Macaca mulatta: one gene and its partners. The protein of the gene in region 2 purifies or fractionates together with the protein of the main gene of each other region. This does not show direct contact. Links are inferred from orthologs where the notes say so. Each region holds a gene or a part of one and is shown on either strand. Other genes may lie near its edges. The genes, in order: HDAC1, SUDS3, HDAC2, SIN3B and SAP130.

Evidence for each region.
Region 1: the proteins of SUDS3 (region 2) and HDAC1 purify together in Homo sapiens (affinity purification with mass spectrometry; 9 studies listed by BioGRID and IntAct, counting the BioPlex papers as one, with this or other methods). This does not show direct contact. The link is inferred for Macaca mulatta from reciprocal best matches to the Homo sapiens genes SUDS3 and HDAC1.
Region 3: the proteins of SUDS3 (region 2) and HDAC2 purify together in Homo sapiens (affinity purification with mass spectrometry; 5 studies listed by BioGRID and IntAct, with this or other methods). This does not show direct contact. The link is inferred for Macaca mulatta from reciprocal best matches to the Homo sapiens genes SUDS3 and HDAC2.
Region 4: the proteins of SUDS3 (region 2) and SIN3B purify together in Homo sapiens (affinity purification with mass spectrometry; 3 studies listed by BioGRID and IntAct, counting the BioPlex papers as one, with this or other methods). This does not show direct contact. The link is inferred for Macaca mulatta from reciprocal best matches to the Homo sapiens genes SUDS3 and SIN3B.
Region 5: the proteins of SUDS3 (region 2) and SAP130 purify together in Homo sapiens (affinity purification with western blotting; 3 studies listed by BioGRID, with this or other methods). This does not show direct contact. The link is inferred for Macaca mulatta from reciprocal best matches to the Homo sapiens genes SUDS3 and SAP130.

Annotation. Positions count from the first base shown.
Region 1 is NC_133406.1:208,542,774-208,546,127, reverse strand, and holds the end of HDAC1 (histone deacetylase 1), read left to right. Parts: coding exon 1-105; intron 106-672; coding exon 673-781; intron 782-874; coding exon 875-1,005; intron 1,006-1,284; coding exon 1,285-1,437; intron 1,438-1,895; coding exon 1,896-1,944; intron 1,945-2,213; coding exon 2,214-2,241; 3' UTR 2,242-2,819; downstream 2,820-3,354. UniProt on the Homo sapiens protein: Histone deacetylase that catalyzes the deacetylation of lysine residues on the N-terminal part of the core histones (H2A, H2B, H3 and H4).
Region 2 is NC_133416.1:125,665,790-125,670,101, reverse strand, and holds the start of SUDS3 (sin3 histone deacetylase corepressor complex component SDS3), read right to left. Parts: upstream 2,821-4,312; 5' UTR 2,674-2,820; coding exon 2,532-2,673; exon of another isoform or gene 1,861-2,531; coding exon of another isoform or gene 1,827-1,860; exon of another isoform or gene 853-1,826; intron 1-852.
Region 3 is NC_133409.1:19,019,965-19,023,518, reverse strand, and holds part of HDAC2 (histone deacetylase 2), read left to right. Parts: intron 1-942; coding exon 943-1,084; intron 1,085-3,554. UniProt on the Homo sapiens protein: Histone deacetylase that catalyzes the deacetylation of lysine residues on the N-terminal part of the core histones (H2A, H2B, H3 and H4).
Region 4 is NC_133424.1:17,355,391-17,358,944, forward strand, and holds part of SIN3B (paired amphipathic helix protein Sin3b), read left to right. Parts: intron 1-528; coding exon 529-645; intron 646-1,862; coding exon 1,863-2,101; intron 2,102-2,801; coding exon 2,802-2,985; intron 2,986-3,554.
Region 5 is NC_133417.1:9,247,336-9,251,554, forward strand, and holds the start of SAP130 (histone deacetylase complex subunit SAP130), read left to right. Parts: upstream 1-1,379; 5' UTR 1,380-1,572; coding exon 1,573-1,644; intron 1,645-1,931; exon of another isoform or gene 1,932-2,358; intron 2,359-2,438; coding exon 2,439-2,556; intron 2,557-4,219. UniProt on the Homo sapiens protein: Acts as a transcriptional repressor. May function in the assembly and/or enzymatic activity of the mSin3A corepressor complex or in mediating interactions between the complex and other regulatory complexes.

The DNA of each region.
Region 1 (3,354 bases), on a different chromosome or scaffold from region 2:
ACCTGCCTATGCTGATGCTGGGAGGTGGTGGTTACACCATTCGTAATGTTGCCCGGTGCTGGACATACGAGACAGCTGTGGCCCTGGATACGGAGATCCCTAATGGTAATAGCTGCAGGGCCAGGTTTGGCTGGGCTGGGTGGGAGCTGGAGCTCATCTGTCCTTAAGTTTATAACCCCTTCCCCGTTGGTCATATGACCACTGTTCTTCTGATACTAGTCACTGAGTCCCCTGCATGTCCTCTTGTGATCAGCAGACCATAACCATCACTTTTTCCCTAGTCCTTTTTAGCTCTGTCCCCTCTCCCTTCTGCTTTTGGTCTGGACAAAGTTCTCAGTGGTAATTTACAGCTTTGGAATTTCTGCTCTGTAGAGTAACTGGAGTAGTGAGTGAAGGGAGCGTTCATAATGAGCATGGGCTCAAGTGTCCTAAACCAGGAACATGGACCTTCTCCTAGCGACATATACACCACTGGTATAGACATAGAGTGATGTTAACAAGATGGAAATCCCATAGGTACCCGTGTCTCACCGTGTCTTGGAGGCATTCTCCTCTGTTTGACAGATGGATCAAGGGCCCAGAGAAACCTACAAATGCTTTAGGGTGCTTACGTGCAAATGGTTCAGGTGCGGTGGCCAGGTCTCTTAACGGTCTTCTCCCTGCCCCAATCAGAGCTTCCATACAACGACTACTTTGAATACTTTGGACCGGATTTCAAGCTCCACATCAGTCCTTCCAATATGACTAACCAGAACACGAATGAGTACCTGGAGAAGATCAAGTGAGTATATCCTCCAGCCACCCCTTGGTTGAACATTCCTGACTTTGGTTTGTCCCTGACCAGAGCCCTGCTACTCTCTCCCACTGGCCACAGACAGCGGCTGTTTGAGAACCTTAGAATGCTGCCGCATGCACCTGGGGTCCAAATGCAGGCGATTCCTGAGGACGCCATCCCTGAGGAGAGTGGCGATGAGGACGAAGAAGACCCTGACAAGCGCATCTCGAGTAAGACCTAGACGCAGAGCCCTATGCCTTCCACTCAGTAGGCAGCCCCCACTTCCACCACCATTCCTGGCTGCACACTCTCCAAGCTCCCCACCTTGGAGAAATCTGTTTCCAGTTCCAGTGCCTGTAGGAACAGGTTAGGGAGCCTGAGCTCCTCCCTCTTCTCTGGTTCCCTTTCCCTTGGTGTCTCTTGGAGGGCCTGCAGGGAAGCACTGGGCATAGATGCTGAGCTAGATCGGCACCCGCCTGCTCTCACCCATGCTTCCCACTCCCTCCCAGTCTGCTCCTCCGACAAACGAATTGCCTGTGAGGAAGAGTTCTCCGATTCTGAAGAGGAGGGAGAGGGGGGCCGCAAGAACTCTTCCAACTTCAAAAAAGCCAAGAGAGTCAAAACAGAGGATGAAAAAGAGAAAGACCCAGAGGAGAAGAAAGGTGGGTTTGGGTTCAGCCGGGACTTGGGTCTTGAGCCTGAGAGGATGAATCTATGTAGGGCAGTGGGAGGAGGGAGTGACTCAGGCCCTGCCAGCTCCTGTGGGGCTCTTCCTCAGTTCCTTGAGCCTTTCAGTGTCTCCCAGAAGTGGCAGGGCCCACAAAACAACGAACCTCTACTGGCCAAGCACGGCTCTCACATACCACCCAAGCCCTTTTCCCAGCACTGCACCCCAGTTTCCCAGGGGGCTGCCTCCGCCCACCAGATTCTGGCTGTAGCAGGCTGGGAAACCGGTCCAACCTGTTCTCTACAGGGCTCACTGGGAAGACCAGGGATGGGCTTTTCTCTCTTTTATGTCCAGTGAGCGTAGTGTTGGGGAAGGGGTCTCAGGGTAAATGAAGACCTCACGGGTCTTTCCAGAGGTGCTGCCCTTAGCCATCCCTGTACTCTTGTGTTCTAGAAGTCACAGAAGAGGAGAAAACCAAGGAGGAAAAGCCAGAAGCCAAAGGGTGAGGAACGAGCTGCCTGCAGCCATCTCCCTGGCATTGGAGCACCAGCCCCTTTGTCCCACTACTCTGAAGAAAGGCACAGGGACAGCTGGTCCAGCTTACAAAGGCCTCTTTCAGGGACCAGTCTGTCCAGCTCTGCAGTTCTAGGCAGAGCTAGGAGCCCCAGCCCCCAGTAGTCACCTGGGATCCTGTGGAAGTCACTGTGTCTGCACTTTTGCCCCGAGGCTCTGGGCTGGGTCATCTCATGCCAGTCTCTGCTCTCTCCACAGGGTCAAGGAGGAGGTCAAGTTGGCCTGAACAGACCTCTCCAGCTCTGGCTCCCTGCTGAGTCCCTCACCTTTCTCCCCCAACCCCTCAGATTTTATATTTTCTATTTCTCTGTGTATTTATATAAAAATTTATTAAATATAAATATCCCCAGGGACAGAAACCAAGGCCCTGAGCCCAGGGCAGCTGTGCTGGGTGAACTCTTCCAGGGGCCACATTGCCACCCATTCTTCCCCAGTTCTTAACTTTGAACCATAAAGGGTGCCAGGTCTGGGTGAAAGGGATGCTTTTATGCAACCGTAAGACAAAATCCTGAAATGCGAAGTGCCTGCTTAGTAGCTTTGGAAAGGTGCCCTTATTGAATATTCTAGAAGGGGTGGCTGGGTCTTCAAGGATCTCCTGTTCTTTTCAGGCTCCTAAGGTAACATCAGCCATTTTTAGATTGGTTCTGTTTTCATACCTTCCCACTGGCCTCAAGTGAGCCAAGAAACACTGCCTGCCCCGTCTTCTCCTAATTCTGCAGGTGGAGGTTGCTAGTCTAGTTTCCTTTTTGAGATACTATTTTCATTTTTGTGAGCCTCTTTGTAATAAAATGGTACATTTCTATATCCTCCTGAGCTTGTTTCCTACGTGTCATTGGGTTGGTTTCAACTCTTACTTCCCTGCCCTTCTGGTGTCCATGAGTATTGGGGCAACCCCCTGAACAAGAAAACCCCATAAACTTACCTGCCTGCCTTAACTCCTCCCTTGAGGTTTGAGGTGAACTACTTTCCACCAATCTTCTCACCCTACCCCCAGAAGACCACTCATTAAAGCACCACTAAAGGGACGACATTTATTCCTTTTCCAAATGTTACAGTAAAACCAGGTGGAAGAGAATGGTTTTAGCAGTTAGAAAAAAAAAAAAAGTACAAATCTGGGGTTTGGCCATTAAAAGTTATTTACAACAATGGGAGAAAAAAAGACAACAAGAAGTTGTTTCACATTACAGACCTCCCCCCACCCCAAAGCCTAATACTTGCTTACCAAGTCAAAAAAGAGACACAGTTGATTCACAAGCTGGAGGTTTGAACTTGAGTAAGACATTTATAAAAACCTAGACGGGGCAGTGTCCTCCCCAGCCCAGGTGCCACTAGGCACAGC
Region 2 (4,312 bases):
CACCTTCTGGGTTCAAACAATTCTCCTGCCTCAGCTTCCCAAATAGCTGGGATTACAGGGGTGCACCACCACGCCCAGCTAATTTTTGTATTTTTAGTAGAGACGGAGTTTCACCATGTTGGCCAGGCTGGTCTCGAACTCCTGGCCTCAACTGAACCGCCTGCCTCGGCCTCCCAAAGTGCTGGGATTACAGGCATGAGCCACCATGCCCGGACAACAGTACACTTTAAATCATCTCTAGATTACTTACAATATCCAGGCCAGGCATGGCGGCTCATGCCTGTAATCCCCGCACTTTGGAAGGCCAAAGCGGGTGAATCACCTGAGGCCAGGAGTTCCAGACCATCCTGGCCAACATAGAGAAACCCCATCTCTACTAAAAACACAAAAGTTAAGGCCGGGTGCATTGGCTCACGCCTGTAATCCCAGCACTTTGGGAGGCCAAAGCAGGTGGTTTACCTGAGGTCGGGAGTTTGAGACCAGCCTGACCAACATGGAGAAACCCCCTCTCTACTCAAAATACAAAATTAGCTGGGGGTGGTGGCGCATGCCTGTAATCCCAGCTACTCCCAGCTACTTGAGAGGCTGAGGCAGGAGAATGGCTTGAGCTGAGATCGCGCCACTGCACTCCACTCCACCCTGGGCAACAAGAGCGAAACTCCATCTCAAAAAAAAAAAAAAAAAAAGAACAAAACAAACAACAAATAAAACCCCAAAAATTAGCCAGGCATGATGGCAGGTGCCTGTAATCCCAACGACTCCGGAAGCTGAGGCAGGAGAATTGCTTGAACCCCGGAGATGGAGGTTGCAGTGAACTGAGATTGTGACACTGCACACCAGCCTGGGTGATAGAGTGAGACTCCACCTCAAAAAAAAAAAAAAAAAAGGTTACTTACAATATCCAATAAAATGTAAATACTATGTAAGTAGTTGTTACACTACACTGTTTAGGAATAACAAAAAAAGTCTGCACATGTTCAGTACGGATTCAATTTTTTCCGGAATATTTTTGAGCTGCGCTTGGTTGAATTCACAGATGTAGAATTCACAGACATGGAGCGCCAACTGTATACAATAAAAAAGGTAATCTGACACAAATATTTTCCAAGTTACAACTAAAGGGAACAAGGAGGAGGCCAGATGATCAAACGAAAATTGTTTCAAAACATCTTAAACATTGCTCTTAGAACAAGCATTAATGGCTGGGGTGTCTACAAATTTTTAACAGCCCCTATACTGCAAGGAAAAAAAAACCCTCAATTTTGGCTCCACCGCGCCCCCTCGTGGGGATGAGATGCAGCGCAAGTGCTTCACATTCAAAATCTCTGGTTAAGCCTTGTCTTCGGATGGAGTTAAACCGAATGCAGTCCTTCAACTTTCCATGTCATGCATATGCAGCTGTCTTTTGTAAGGCTGTTGCAGATCCAATTCCCCACAAACCCTTCTCCCCTCCTTCAGTTAAGAGGCCTTCCCTGAGTTCCTGTCATGGTCAGCCACATTACTTGGCACTCGGGAAATTCAGATGAATAAAACGTATGCACCTTTCCAAACAGCTGGTCTAGCTTTTGCTCCACGGCCCGATTTTGTCCCAGAATATTCCATTCACATATAGATCTCTCTTTATCTCCTCTTTCTTCTCCCTTGATCTTTCATATTTCATCACCTTCCTCCTCCTCCATCCCTCCAAAATAGCGTCCTCACACTTGCCAAATTATAAAGCTCAGTTTGAAAAGCAAGGCTCTGAGACGCTGTGATGACAGTGTAAAGAGCATGGGACTGAAAACACACCACCTGGGGACCATTAAGCAAACCCCTCCCTCTCTTACCTGTTTCCGGGAGGGGGGCGGGTGGGGAGAACATTTACTGAGTATTTACTGTACCAGGCCAAGTACTTTATGCGCATGTCATTTAATCCCTATACCGACCCTAGGAAGTGCTTTCTAGGTCAGGTGTGGGAATTAAACAGCTTCATTACAGCTGGGTAAATCGAGGCTGGAAAACTTTAGTTTACAAAGCTGAGTTAAGTGACAGAGCCAAATTTAAACCTGTATCTGGCTGGTTCCAGGTCCCTTTCCTTTAACCAACCTGAGTTATCAATACTGTCCTACCTAAAGCATAGCTGACACGCATTTCGGGGGTGGGGAGGGGCAACTTTGGACTCTGATGCTCTCAGACACAAAAAACGGGGGAACTACACTCGGTGCATTCAGTAAATGAGTTTCTCATTCCTACTAGTGAAGATGTGAGGTTCAATCAGAGACAGCTGGGAGGGAGGACGGGGTCTTAAAGGGACCCCCAGCGTGACAACGTGTGAGTCCCCTCTCCCCATCACAGTCAAGTGTAACGTACCCAGGGCTTCCCCGCTACTCCAGCGCGAAGGGGAGTAACTTCCCCGAGTCCCGCAACTCCCGGCGGCCCCTCCACGCAGCCCCAGGCCCCAGAGGCCGCCCCGCCCCTCTCCCAAGCAGCCCCACCCCCTCCCTAGCGGTCCCACCTCCGCTCCCGGCCGCCGGGAGAGCTGCAGGACTCACCTTCGTCCGACTCGCGGCCCCGACAGCTGCGCTCGTCGTCCTCGGCGCTCTCCAGCTCTTCGTCCTCCTCGGGGTAGTACTCGGGGGCCGGCGGCGCTCCAGCCTGGGCCGGGGCCGGGGCCAGCAGCCCCGCGGCACTCATGTCGCCTCTGACCGCAGCTGAGCGTGGCCCAGGGACACCGCGGCCACCCGCCTTCGGTACTCGCCGTCTGCCTAGCAGCGTCCGAGGGAGCCCCCAACTCGAGGAGCGGGAGCCGCGGCGACCCCTTCCCGGTCTCCGCCGAGCTCCGCCCCCCGCGCCCGCGCTCGGCAACCGGGGCCTCGCGCCGCTGGCGACTTCCGGGTCGAGAGCTGCCCGACGACGGCCTGACTCCGCCATCCTTGGGGGAGTGGAGATGCCGCTGGACGCCCAGTCGCCACAACTTCAGCCCTTTCATCGCCGTCTTAAAATCCTTAAAGTATAGTGGGGGAGGGGCGGAGCCAGGTTCTCTAGAGTCAGGCAAATCTACGGGCAGGCCCAGCAGCCATCAGGACCCCGAGGCTCGCAGGCGACATCCGGAAACAGCCGCCAGGCGGCGCCTGGAGCTAGAACTAAAGCAGGGATCGTTAGCGACCTAGGGGCGGAGGGTTTGAAGGGCCCTTGGCAGGTGGAGGTGGTCTCTAATCTAAGCAGGGGAACCACGCGAACTGCCCCCTTGTTAGGTCTGAAAACCTAGACATCCAGAGTGTGCGTGATCATGCAGCCTGGCTCCTCCTGTGACTACTTAGAGCTTTATTAAGAGCTAAAAGACAAGGATGCTGATATTCCATCCTGGGGACAGCAAAACAGTATTTTCCCAGCCCTTAGGAATCCTTTCTATTTGTGTAAGGTTTATTCGATAAGATGTTCCCCCGGTTTTACAAACGAGAAACGAGCTGTCGTTTGCCTAAAAAAAAATAGCAACGTCCAGTCTGATTTTTTAGACTCGGAGACCCAGGCCTTCCGCGGTACAGCTGTCTTGAATATTAATTTTTTCAAAGGTGCTTTTGCCTAATCCAACAGCTTGCTCTGAGCTCTCAACTGAAGAAGGGGAGAATTTGCCTACCAGAAGTTATTTGGCTAAGCAAGACCTACGTGGAAGCTTAAAAACCAGGAGAGCTGAGTATCTGCAAGAATTAATTTGTGGGATTCCCTCTGAGTAAAAGAGGGACACGGTGTTACAAGTTTTGCTCAAAGAATAGATTTAAGGTGTCCCTTTAGCTAAGAGCAGTGTGGTCTAGTTGTGTGTAGCGAGAAAAAAGGATAAGGTTTTTAATGGTTTGTCCAAAGTAGCCCCACTTTCATGTTCCACCCGAGTCTCCGTAGGAAACGCAACCAGTAGTGAAAACACATGTGAAAACCAGGGTGGAACCGAATATTCCCATTCTCAGACCTTTTGTGATCAAATTTCTCTCTGAATTGGCCCCCATGGACTCTTCTAAAAAATGAAACATTATTCCCATCCCATTTATTTTGACATTTATTTACTACCTTGTTTTAATTAAAATCTTGGCTCTATTTGTAAGGGATTTTTTGTCCCAACAAAACTAAAGAATTTCCAGAATGGAATGCTAAGATGTCTTTCCAGGAGTTCCGAGATCTTCTGAAGCGCCTTCTAAATAAGAATCATTCTCAGATCTCACCAGGTCTGCCATCTATATTTAAACTAGGATTTCGGAACTGTCTCGTGTCCAAAAGATGAAGTCATTTTCTTTTTTTGTGCTGTTGGAGCACATCTAAATTATTTGCAATCAACTATATT
Region 3 (3,554 bases), on a different chromosome or scaffold from region 2:
TATTCTTATGAGAATAGTCTCATGAGTGCTTAGTCTGGAAATATCAATTTACATTGTATTGTTTTATTTAGCACAGCTATGGCATCATTACATAATAAATACAATGCTTTGCCATCTAATAACAAAATCTCACTTCATTGTACTTCAGAAGGATGACATGAGAAGTCCATTTTCCCTTTATTTTGACATGAGTATACACTGGTAACAAAATGTCATGATATGGTGATTCATGTGGCTCCTAAACTGTGTTTGAGTTACAACTGTGTCATTGTTATCTGTGGTGTTCCAAGCACCAGTTTGAAATGATGAGAGTACCACATGTAGCCTCTGTCACAGCTAACCAATTCTGAAGTTCAAATGGAGCCATGGGTAATAAACAATTGAGCATGGCCATCTTTCAGTAAAACTTTTTCTATGGACACTGAAATTTGAATTTTTTAATTGTCACATGTCAGAAAATACTCTTGTTTCGGTTTTGTTTTTAAACCATTTAAAAAATATAAAAACTATTCTTAGTTCAAAGCTGAAAAAAGAGGCAATTGGCCAAATTTGGGCCATGGGCTATAGTTAGCCAATCCCTATTTTATAATATTGAAGATTTATTACAGAGGTGTTTTAATTAAAGTAACAATCTTGAGTATGGTATAATCTTCAGTTTTTCATATATTAGAAACATGTGCTATGTTTTTGAAGCATGTAGAATGGAACAAATTTCACAAAGAGTAAATATGTATTTTTTAACCTACATAGGGCCATAAGTGGGTATTTAAAGGCCTAAGGCTCAAACCTCAGATATTTGAATAGCCTTTTAGGCCGAATTTAAAAGGTGATTAAACATCCTGGAATGCTAGAGCTCAAAAATAGGTTTCCTGAATTTGTGGTGCTTCTTCCCATCTTATAACCTTTAAAGAAAAAAACAAAAACTTATGGATTTGCTTTCAGGTATCATCAGAGAGTCTTATATATTGATATAGATATTCATCATGGTGATGGTGTTGAAGAAGCTTTTTATACAACAGATCGTGTAATGACGGTATCATTCCATAAATATGGGGAATACTTTCCTGGCACAGGAGACTTGAGGGTAAGACTAAATTCTGTCTTAATAAATACTGTGAGACGAACCTAGGAGATCAGTAACCTTATACTTGAAGTAGAATTTTTCCTGAGTTAATAATTTGAAACTTGTATGCAGAATTCAATTACTTCATATGCAGTAACATTTGCTAAAATTCACTGTTGCTAACTAAGCAAAAATTTAGTGAGAACTTAAGGACTGTTTTTTTTTTTTTCCTCAGCTGTTTTCTTTGGTTGAATAAATATTTTTGAATATCCACAAAGCACGAAGCCCTTCTCTTGATGTTCAGTTTGAATCTTCAAAACTACCTGATGGTAGCCTATGTTGCTATTGATTATAAGGATCGGTGGAATAAAATAGACTAGGTCTTTTTAGGTTCTTCTGCTCCTCTCTTTTGTGATTGGTCTTGACTTTTAGTAGGTCTAATTTTAATCTTTTTTTTTTCCTTAAACTTCTAAAATTGGTAATGTATTTACGTAGAGAAAGAATAGTGTAGCCCTGCCTGCCTGTTACATTAAGTGTATTTCTATTTTATTTCTGTTTCTTTTTCCATTTGATGTTATGACTGTGAAAACCACTGGTCAAATCCTATTTCTGTAAGCTCATTGAAGGTTTTTTGCCTCACCACACTTTTTTTGAACCTAACTACACACATGTTGAAATTTATTCAATAATTTAAACAGCTGTTTTTAGTTCAGCCTGGATTATATGGGAGATTTGTCTTATATGGCATTGAACAAAGTTCTAAACTATTTTATTAAGGTTATTTTTCACGTCTATGGTATGTCGTTACAGTTTAGCAACCAGAATTTAAAGAGTTGCCATAAAGTATTCTTAAGCTGTATGGCTTTTCTTTGTTAGACCACAATGTGATCCTTTCTCAGTAAACTCTTTGAGTAAAAGAGTTACCTTAGTAAAACTTTTCCATACTTACAAATGGGTGGGAGGTCAAATGTTTGGTTTGAGTTTAAATTATTTAGCTTTTAAAATTGCAGATTTGTAATTTCAGTTCCTTGCCAGTAAACTCCTTCAATTTATCCTTTTCGCCACCTGGTCATACAGACTAGTGGTTCTCAAACAGTGGACCCTAAACTGAGGAGAAAGCAGACCAGCATCACCTGGGAACTTGTTAGAAATACACATTCTTAGGGCCCAGAAACTGGGTGATTTGAGAATCACTGCTGTAAACCGATAGAATATATTTGTCAGCAACCATTACATCCTAGTGGAAGTCAAGCAAAAGTCTTCTCTGTTTTAAGCTTAAAGAATAAGACAGTATCTTCGCAGTATGATCCTAGTTTATCTCAGAAGTGGAAAATGGAAGCCTCATGTAATTTCTGACAGGTGAATGTCACTATGGTCTCTTCTCAGTTATTATTCATAATTCTTACAGTTTGAAGTTTTTGAAAATATTAGAGAATGCATGTTTTAGAAGGATTTGAGACTGGTTTTCAACATCTCTTTTTCTTAAGATTTTATAGTCGCTGTATTAAATGATGTTTTAAGGATAACATTTGAATATTTTAAGCATGTCCCCATAATTTTGTGAGAGAATTAAAATCAGTCATTACATTATACGTACAGCTGTATTTGGACTTTCTGTGTAACTCACCTGTATCTTTGGATGTTAATTTAAAAAACACTCGCTTTTTCTGCCTGCTAATTCATTCTAATGCTGAAAAGAAGGCTACGCTGAGCTTAGCTCATTGTTGAAACTCTGTTTGCTTTAATTCGAGTAGTCAGTGGAAGAAAGAAAGGTGGCGTAGTAGCAGTTGCAGAATGAGACCTGGAAAAGATAAAGCTTAGTCTAACAAGGGCAGCAGCTCTGAGTTGCCAGCTAGTTAGTGGCAGTTAGGATGAGAAGTGCTGACCAACTTTTCTGCATTCTGAAATCTTAGAGTAAAAATATATTTCGTCTGTGTTTTAACTGTGCAGTAGGAGTGTAAAGATTCACTATACTTTGTCTTTTCCATATTTGTATGGCTTATATTTAGTTACTAAATCTTAATAAAAATTTAGACTGCAAGAAAAATTGGGAGAGGAGGTGTGTAATTTTGCTTGCTTTCCCCTCGTTGGATGATGGGTCTCATAACTCTAATATTGAGGGTAAATTTTGCTTTTGTGAAATTGAACTGAAGCTAAGACCATTCCATGAGAGGTTCAGGAAGAACTTGCACAAGTGCTAGTAATCCTAAAAATTCATGGATCTTCAGACATTATAATTTAACACACATAAGAATTAGGCACCCCACACCCCAGCCAGGCACGGTGGCTCGTGCCTGTGATCCCAGCACTTTGGAAGGCTGAGTCAAGTGGATTACCTGAGGTCAGGAGTTCGAGACCAGCCTGACCAATGTGATGAAACCCTGTCTCTACTAAATACAAAAAAGAATTAGGTGGGCGTGGTGGCATGCACCTGTAGTCCCAGCAACTTGGGAAGCTGAGACAGGACAATTGCTTGAACCGAGGAGGCGAT
Region 4 (3,554 bases), on a different chromosome or scaffold from region 2:
TCTGACCCTTTGCAGAGAAAATTTACCAATATCTGAAATGAAATCAGCCCTCCATATCTGCAAGTTCCTCATCTGTGGTTTCAACTAACCATGGATTGAAAATAGGTGGGGAGAGAGAAACCAAAAAATAACAGTACAGCAATAAAACGTAATCCACATTTTAAGAATGCAGTGTAACAATGATCTACACAGCATTTACATTGCATTAGGTATAAGTATTCTAGAGATGATTTTGCATAGGTTATATGCAAATAGGATTCCATTTGACATCAGGGACTTGAGTATCTGTGGATTTGGGTCTCCAGGGGTGGTTCTGGAACCAATCTCCCAGGATACCAAGGGAGTGTTCACTTGACCAAAGTCATGTTTTCCCTTAAAAACTTGATTCACCTTCCCATTTGTATAAGGCAGTTGCCTATCATATAATCAGGATTGTATTATGTATCTTGGTACTTTGTACACTGGCTAACAGTAAATCTTAGCTCCTGGGGCATGCAGCGCCGTTCATGGCGTTTCCTCTCGATGCAGGTACTGAATGACACCTGGGTCTCCTTCCCCTCCTGGTCTGAGGACTCCACCTTCGTCAGCTCTAAGAAGACACCGTACGAGGAGCAACTTCACCGCTGTGAGGACGAGCGCTTCGAGGTGTGTGTGGTGCTGTGGCCAGGCCTCCCAGCACATGCCTGTCCCCCTTCTCCACCGGACATGCGTCCTGATCCTCCTCCACTGTGCCAGTCTCCTTTTAGGAGCAGGGATTGCAGCACATTCCAGCAGCTCCTGGAAGCTTCCTGCTGGGTCTTGCTGGCCTCTGGGCTGGCTACCAGATGGCACTTTTTTTTTCTGTTTAAAAATTTTGTTTGGACTGGGTGTGGTGGCACACACCTGTAATCCCAGCACTTTGGGAGGCCAAGGCAGGTGGATCATTTGAGCTCAGGAGTTTGAGAACAGCCTGGGCAACATGGTGAAATCTCATCTGTACCAAAAATACAAAAATTAGCCGGGCTTGGTGGCGGGTGCCTGTAATCCTAGCTACTCGGGAGGCTGAGGCAGGAGAATTGCTTGAGCCAGAGAGGCCGAGGCTGCAGTGAGCCGAGATCAAGCCACTGCACTCCACCCTGGGCAATAAAATAAAAATAAATTTAAATTACGTTAAAGAAACTTTTATTTATTTATTTATTTTGCTTGCCCTGTCTCCCAGGCTGAAAGTGCAGTGGCACAATCATGGATCATTGCTGCCTTGACCTCCCAGGGTCAAATGATCCTCCCACCTCAGCCTCCTGAGTAATTGGAACCACAGGTGCACACTACCATGCCCAGGTTGTTGTTGTTTTTTTAACTTTTTTTGTAGAGATGAGGTCTCACTATGTTCCCCAGGCTGGTCTCACACTCCTGGCCTCAAGCGATCCTCTTGAGTAGCTGGGATTACAGACACACCACCATTCCTGGCTAATTTTTGTATTTTTAGTAGAGACGGGGTTTCACCATGTTGATCAGGCTGGTCTCGAACTCCTGACCTTGTGATCTGCCTGCCTCAGCCTCCCAAAGTGCCAGGATTACAGGCGTGAGCCACCGCACCGGGCCATAAATTTTTTTAATTAGCCAGGCATGGTGGTGCACACCTATATTCCTAGCTACTTGGGAAGCCAAGGTGGGAGGATCGTTTGAGCCCAGGAGGTTGAGGCTGCAGTGAGCTGTAATTGTGCCACTGCACTTCAGTCTGGGTGACAGAGCAAGACCCTGTTTCCTACACACACACACACCACCCCCCTCCAAAAATCCTCTGCGCTCTGAGGTCCCAGGCTCCTCCCTGAGGCCTCTTGAGTTCCCCAGTGGCTGACCCCTTCCTGCCTTCCTTTCCATAGTTAGACGTTGTCCTGGAGACGAACCTGGCCACGATCCGCGTGTTGGAAAGCGTGCAGAAGAAGCTCTCTCGGATGGCGCCCGAAGACCAGGAGAAGTTCCGGCTGGACGACTCCCTCGGGGGCACGTCAGAGGTGATCCAGCGCCGTGCCATCTATCGCATCTATGGCGACAAGGCCCCGGAGATCATCGAGAGCCTCAAGAAGAACCCCGTCACCGCTGTCCCTGTTGTCCTGAAAAGGTGCCCTGCGGCATCCCGCCTTCCCTTCCCTTCCCTTCCCTTCCCTTCCGTGCCGCAGGGAGCCCCTGGAGAGCTTGTTAGTGCTGTTTGTCAACAGGGGTAATCTCCAGGGGAGGTCTCAGGCCTAGGGCTGGCTTCCTGTATTTCCCAGTCTCCCACTCCTGAGAGGAGAGCACTGTGACCTTCTAGGACTTTCCACCTTGCACATAATCACATCTAGACATCTAAACTGCTTTAAGAGTCAGATGCAACCACTACACTGTGGCTTGCATTTTATTTAACGCTGCATCTCGGACACCATCTGGTGCTAGTGAACAGGTATTTATCAAGTGGCCACTTTAAGGCAGGTGCAATGCTTGGCCCTGGGGTTACGCAGCTGAGTGAGGCAGACCCAGTCCCTCTCCTCTTGGGACTCACAGCTGAGCAAGGGACCTGAGTGGCTGAGCTAGCAGCCATGCGGAGAGTGCTGGGTGCCTGGGAGGAGGCGGAGGACCCAGGAAGCTGGCCACATTGGCTCTGTAAGGCCATCACGCCCTTCCTCTGACGTGCACAGAGCCCACTGCATAGACTAGGCTGGGAGCTGGCTGGGCTTGGATCCTGGGCCCCCAGTCAAGTCCCAGAGGAAGACAGGCCAGCCCTGGGATGCTTCAGGGAGGATGCCCTGGCTTGTCCCTGGTGCTGACCCCTCTTCTCCCCACAGGCTGAAGGCCAAGGAAGAGGAGTGGCGGGAGGCCCAGCAGGGCTTCAACAAGATCTGGCGGGAGCAGTATGAGAAGGCGTACCTCAAGTCCCTCGACCACCAGGCTGTGAACTTCAAGCAGAATGACACCAAGGCCCTGCGCTCCAAGAGCTTGCTCAACGAGATCGAGAGCGTCTACGACGAGGTACAGCCTTCCCTAGCCCTGCCGGCTGGCGGGGGTGGGATCCTGGCTCTCCCGACCGCCAGGTCTGTGCCTCTGTTTCCCTGGTGCTTAGGTGGGGTAGCGGCATTGCTGTGTCGAGGCGAGGGTTCATGTCTCTGTGATGCCCAGCCTGCGGCCTGCCCTAGGAGAACCAGCAACTCTGCCATTGTCTGTTTGTTTGTTTAGAGGCAGAGTCTCGCCCGCTCTGTCGCCCAGGCTGGAGTGCAGTGGTGCGATCTCAGCTCACTGTAACCTCCACCTCCCCGGTTCAAGCGATTCTCCTGCCTCAGCCTCCCGAGTAGCTGGGACTATAGGCACGTGACACCACACCTGGCTAATTTTTGTATTTTTAGTAGAGACGGGGTTTCACCATGTTGGCCAGGCTGGTCTTGAACTCCTGACCTTGTGATCCACCCGCCTCAGCCTCCCAAAGTGCTGGGATTACAGGCGTGAGCCACCGTGCTCGGCCAACTCTGCCGTTGTCTGGAGAAATCTCTGTCCCTCCTGTGGGACAGTGACGGACTTCAGCTTAGATGGCAGGTGGCAGCAGC
Region 5 (4,219 bases), on a different chromosome or scaffold from region 2:
GGCGCATAAACTCCAACCCTGAACCCCAAACAAAATGACAAAATAAAACTGCCCCCTTCAGCGCCTTCATAATCTGGAAAGTGCGCGCAGGTGCGCCCCGGCCGCCCGGAGTCCTGCATCCTGCCGGCCTGCTTTCACAGAGCCGCGCCCGCGCCGCGCCTGGCGGCTCCCGCCGCGCGTAGGCTGTGCCGACCGCGGTCCCCGGTGGGGACACCGAGTCCCACTCGCGGCGTAGGGAGGCGGGCACCGTCACGACACTGGTCCGGCCCGCGGATCCCTTGGCCGCCGCAGTTGGCCTCCATTACCCTTTCCCGCGCCGCGCCTCCCCGCGGGGAAAATGAAACCTAGTGCCCTCAGGTTGAGACACAGGGTGGGATCCACTGTCTTCTCACTTAGCCAAGAGAAAAGACAGAACCGACTTCAGACAGCAAAGGGGTGTGTTGCCCTGGCCGGGTCGCCTGCGGCCCCGCCCCGGCGCTCTCCACCTCCTTCGCGGCCCGCCCTCTTGGCTCCCGCGACTACATTTCCCAGAGGACGCCGCGGCTCCGAGGGGCGGGCCCGTCCGCTCTCCCGCTCACGACCACCGGCGACTGGCTGACTCGGCAGGGGGCGGGGCCTGCGCCAGCCAATAGACGGGAGGCTCGTTACGGCGGCGGAAGCAGCGGCGCTGGAGTGAGGGGTGGGGGGCAGAGTGCTAGCTCCCCGGCGGTGGCTGCGGGTCGGGAACCTGGGGACGTCGGCCCCGCAGACAGAGAGCGCGCGGGAGCGAGCTCAAGGCGGCGCGGCGGCCACTCGGCGCAGCACCCAGGTAATGGCGGGACGGGAGCCCGGGAGGGAAGGGGAGGAGACGAGGGGGCGGGGCGGCCGAGCCGGGCTGCAGCGTCCGTCCCGTTGCGCGTCCCCGGGGAAGGGCAGAGGATCCTCGTCTCCTGCAGCTCGGACCGCGGCTCTTTGGCGAGCTGGGCACGGCAGTTGGGCCGGCGACAGGGGCTGGGTGTCCTGTGGCGAGGAAGGGAGAGGCACCGGGAGGGGTGGGCTGACCCGGGCGTGGGGGCGTGGCGGACGTGGGCCTTGGCGGGGAAGCAGAGCGGTCGGGGGAGCGCGGGCGGGCGGGCGGCCCAGGGAGTTTGGCTCCTGGAGCAGTTTAAAGTGACTCTCCACATCCGGGCCCTGCGCCCGCCGCTTTCAGACCCTGGCCAAGGCGGGGCCTCCCCGCTCCCCGCCCCCCTCGCCGGGGGCGCCTGTCTTCCTCTGCCATTGGTTCAGCCTCGAGGGGTTTGGGCTGCCCCGGCCAGGCTCGCGCCTGATTGGCTGGCGGTCGGCGGGAGGGTGGGGCGGGTCCTGACCGTGTAGGTCGCTGTGGATTGGTCCTGGGCCTCCACTGACGCGCCGGGCGTGGGGCCAATGGGCGGGCGGGGGAGGCAGGGGCAGGTTCGGGGGAAGAGGACTGCGAGCACAGCGGCGGCCGGGTGTTGGGGGTGAGTGGGGCCAGCGGGGCTGGACAGCGGCGGGCCCCGGGCGCCGCCGCCGCGATCCCTCCCCGCGCCCCCCGAGCGCATCGCCGCCGCCGAGATGGGCCCTCCGCGGCACCCCCAGGCCGGCGAGCTAGAAGCGGGCGGTGCGGGCGGCGGGCGGCGGCTACAGGTAAAGAGGCACAGTGCTCGCCTTGTGGTCGGGTCCCCAGAACGCCCGTCCGCACCCCTACCCCGGAGACGGGGATCTCGCACTCCGAGGTGTCTGGAAATCGGCGTCCTCCCATCTCAGCGGGGGCTTCGCGGTGGGGTGGGGTTGCGGGCGAATCAGGGGAGATCGCTTGGCTCCTGGGGGAAAAGTGGGGGACGATTTTAGGGAAGATGGAGAAGGTGTAGGGTCCTCTGGCTCTGTGGGGGGTCTATGAAAGGGAAAGAAAAGGAAATCCGTAAATGGAAGCCTTTGCAGAAAAGCGTTGGAGAATTCCTTTTGCATCAGGTCTGAATGTAAAACATCCGATCCTTTCTTAGGGCTGGGTATCTTCCTCCGAATGTTCCTATGACATGCTAATCACAGTTCTGTTCACCTTGGTGTGAGGTTTGAGTGTTTCGAAGAGACATGCCATTTTCCATAAAACTTTACACAGAGAAATACACATGCATTGTGGTAATACCTGTCATGTGACTCTTGTACAGGATTCAATGGTGATTTTTTTAGCATGGCAATCCACAAGTATTTATGGAGGGTTATAGTACACGCCAGCTCCGTATAAACGATATTGGTAGAAAACTTAGGTAGTTTAGATAATGTCTGCATTTATATTGATCCTACGTTATTGTTTTTAAATAGATGATGCAACATTTGCTTTTCCGAGGGACTATCTCATAGGTACTAAAGATGCTTTAATTTCTCAATATTGATTCAGATCTCAGAATCTAGTAATAACCATATAACTGTATGTACTGCAGGTGGAAATGAGTTCTCAACAGTTTCCTCGATTAGGAGCCCCTTCTACTGGGCTGAGCCAGGCCCCTTCTCAGATTGCAAACAGTGGTACTGCTGGATTGATAAACCCAGCTGCTACAGGTGAGATATGTAATATTCTAATATATTTCTTCCAACTTTACGAATATTGCCAGTTTTCTAACTTAAAAATTAGCAGACTCCTTCTAGGATTTTAGTAAATTCTTATTTCTTGAATTTGAAGAAAGGGTATATTACTATTCTAATTTAAACAAGGCTTTTTTTCTTCCTGCTTTAAGCACTTCGTTCACATAGAGTACACATGCAACTTACAGCGAAGCATGCCTGTAAGAACTATTTTTGAAATGCATTAATATATTCATGTTTAATTAATGTCCAAGAGTATAGCATTAGTGCTGTGAGGGAGCCCAGAGTTGTTTAAGGAACAGATCTTGCCTTTTAGGAGTTTATTATCAAGGAAAATAAGTGGAAAACAAAGGATATGCAGTTTCCCTATGGTGTCTGTGGGGGATTGGTTCCAGGACCCACCTCAGATACCAAAATCCATGTTGCTCCACTTTGTGATGTAAAATGGTATAGTGTTTACATATTACCTGTATCTATCCTCCAGTATACTTTAAATCAGCTGTAGATTACTTGTAATGCCTACTACAAAGTAAATAGTATGTAAATAGTTGTTATTCCGTATTGCTAAGAGAACAGTGAGAAGACAAAGAAGTCTGTATGTGCTTAGTACAGATGCAACCATATTTTATTTTTCCCCCTGAATATTTAACATCCAAAGTTATTTGAATTCAGATCAGGGAACCCATGGATACAGAGGGCTGATTGCATACACACAGATAAGACTTGGTTTTTCGTCTCATGCCCTTTGAGTGCTAGAAATCAGTGGTTCTCAGTGACAGGTGTTTGGGGAGGTGGTTTTTCCTGCAGGGGAATACTTGGCAATATCTAAAGACAGTTTGGTTGTCACAACTCAACAGTGCTATTGGCATCTGGTAGGTAGAGGCCAGGGATACTGCTTCACATCCTACAAGATAATGGGAAGCCCCCACAACAGAGAAGTATCCAGTCTAGTCAGCAGCGCTGAAGTTGAGGAATTCCTTCAAATACTCTTTTTCGCTACGTATTAAGTAAATATGTGACATTGCAAAGTGGAATAAACTATTTTCTATTCCTTTTTCTTCACCACTCGATTCTGGTGTTCCTTATGGTAAATGATACCACTGTCTACTCATTGCTTAAACCAGTAGCTGAGGCTTATTTTTTTGCAACAGCATCTCATGCTGTCATTCAAGCGGGAGTACAGTGGCCTAATCACAGCTCACTGCAGCCTCGATCTTTTGAGCTCCCCAGCTTATTTTATTTTATTTTACTTTATTTTGTTTTATTTTATTTTTTTGAGACAGAGTGTCACTCTTTGGCCCAGGTTAGAGTGCACTGGCTCTATCTCAGGTCCCTTCGGTCTCTGCCTCCTGGGTTTTAGCGATTCTTGTGCCTCAGCCTCTGAGTAGCCGGGATTACAGGCATGCGCCACCATCCCTGGGTAATTTTTTTTTTTTCTTTTTTGTATTTTTAGTAGAGACAGGGTTTCACCATGTTAACCAGGCTGATCTCGAACTCCAGACCTCAAGTGATCCACCTTCCTTGGCCTCCCAAAGTGCTGGGATTACAGGCATGAGCCACCGCGCACAGCCACATGTTCAGCTAATTTTAAATTTTTTTGTAAAGAGGGGATCTCACAGTGTTGCCCAAGCTGGTCTCA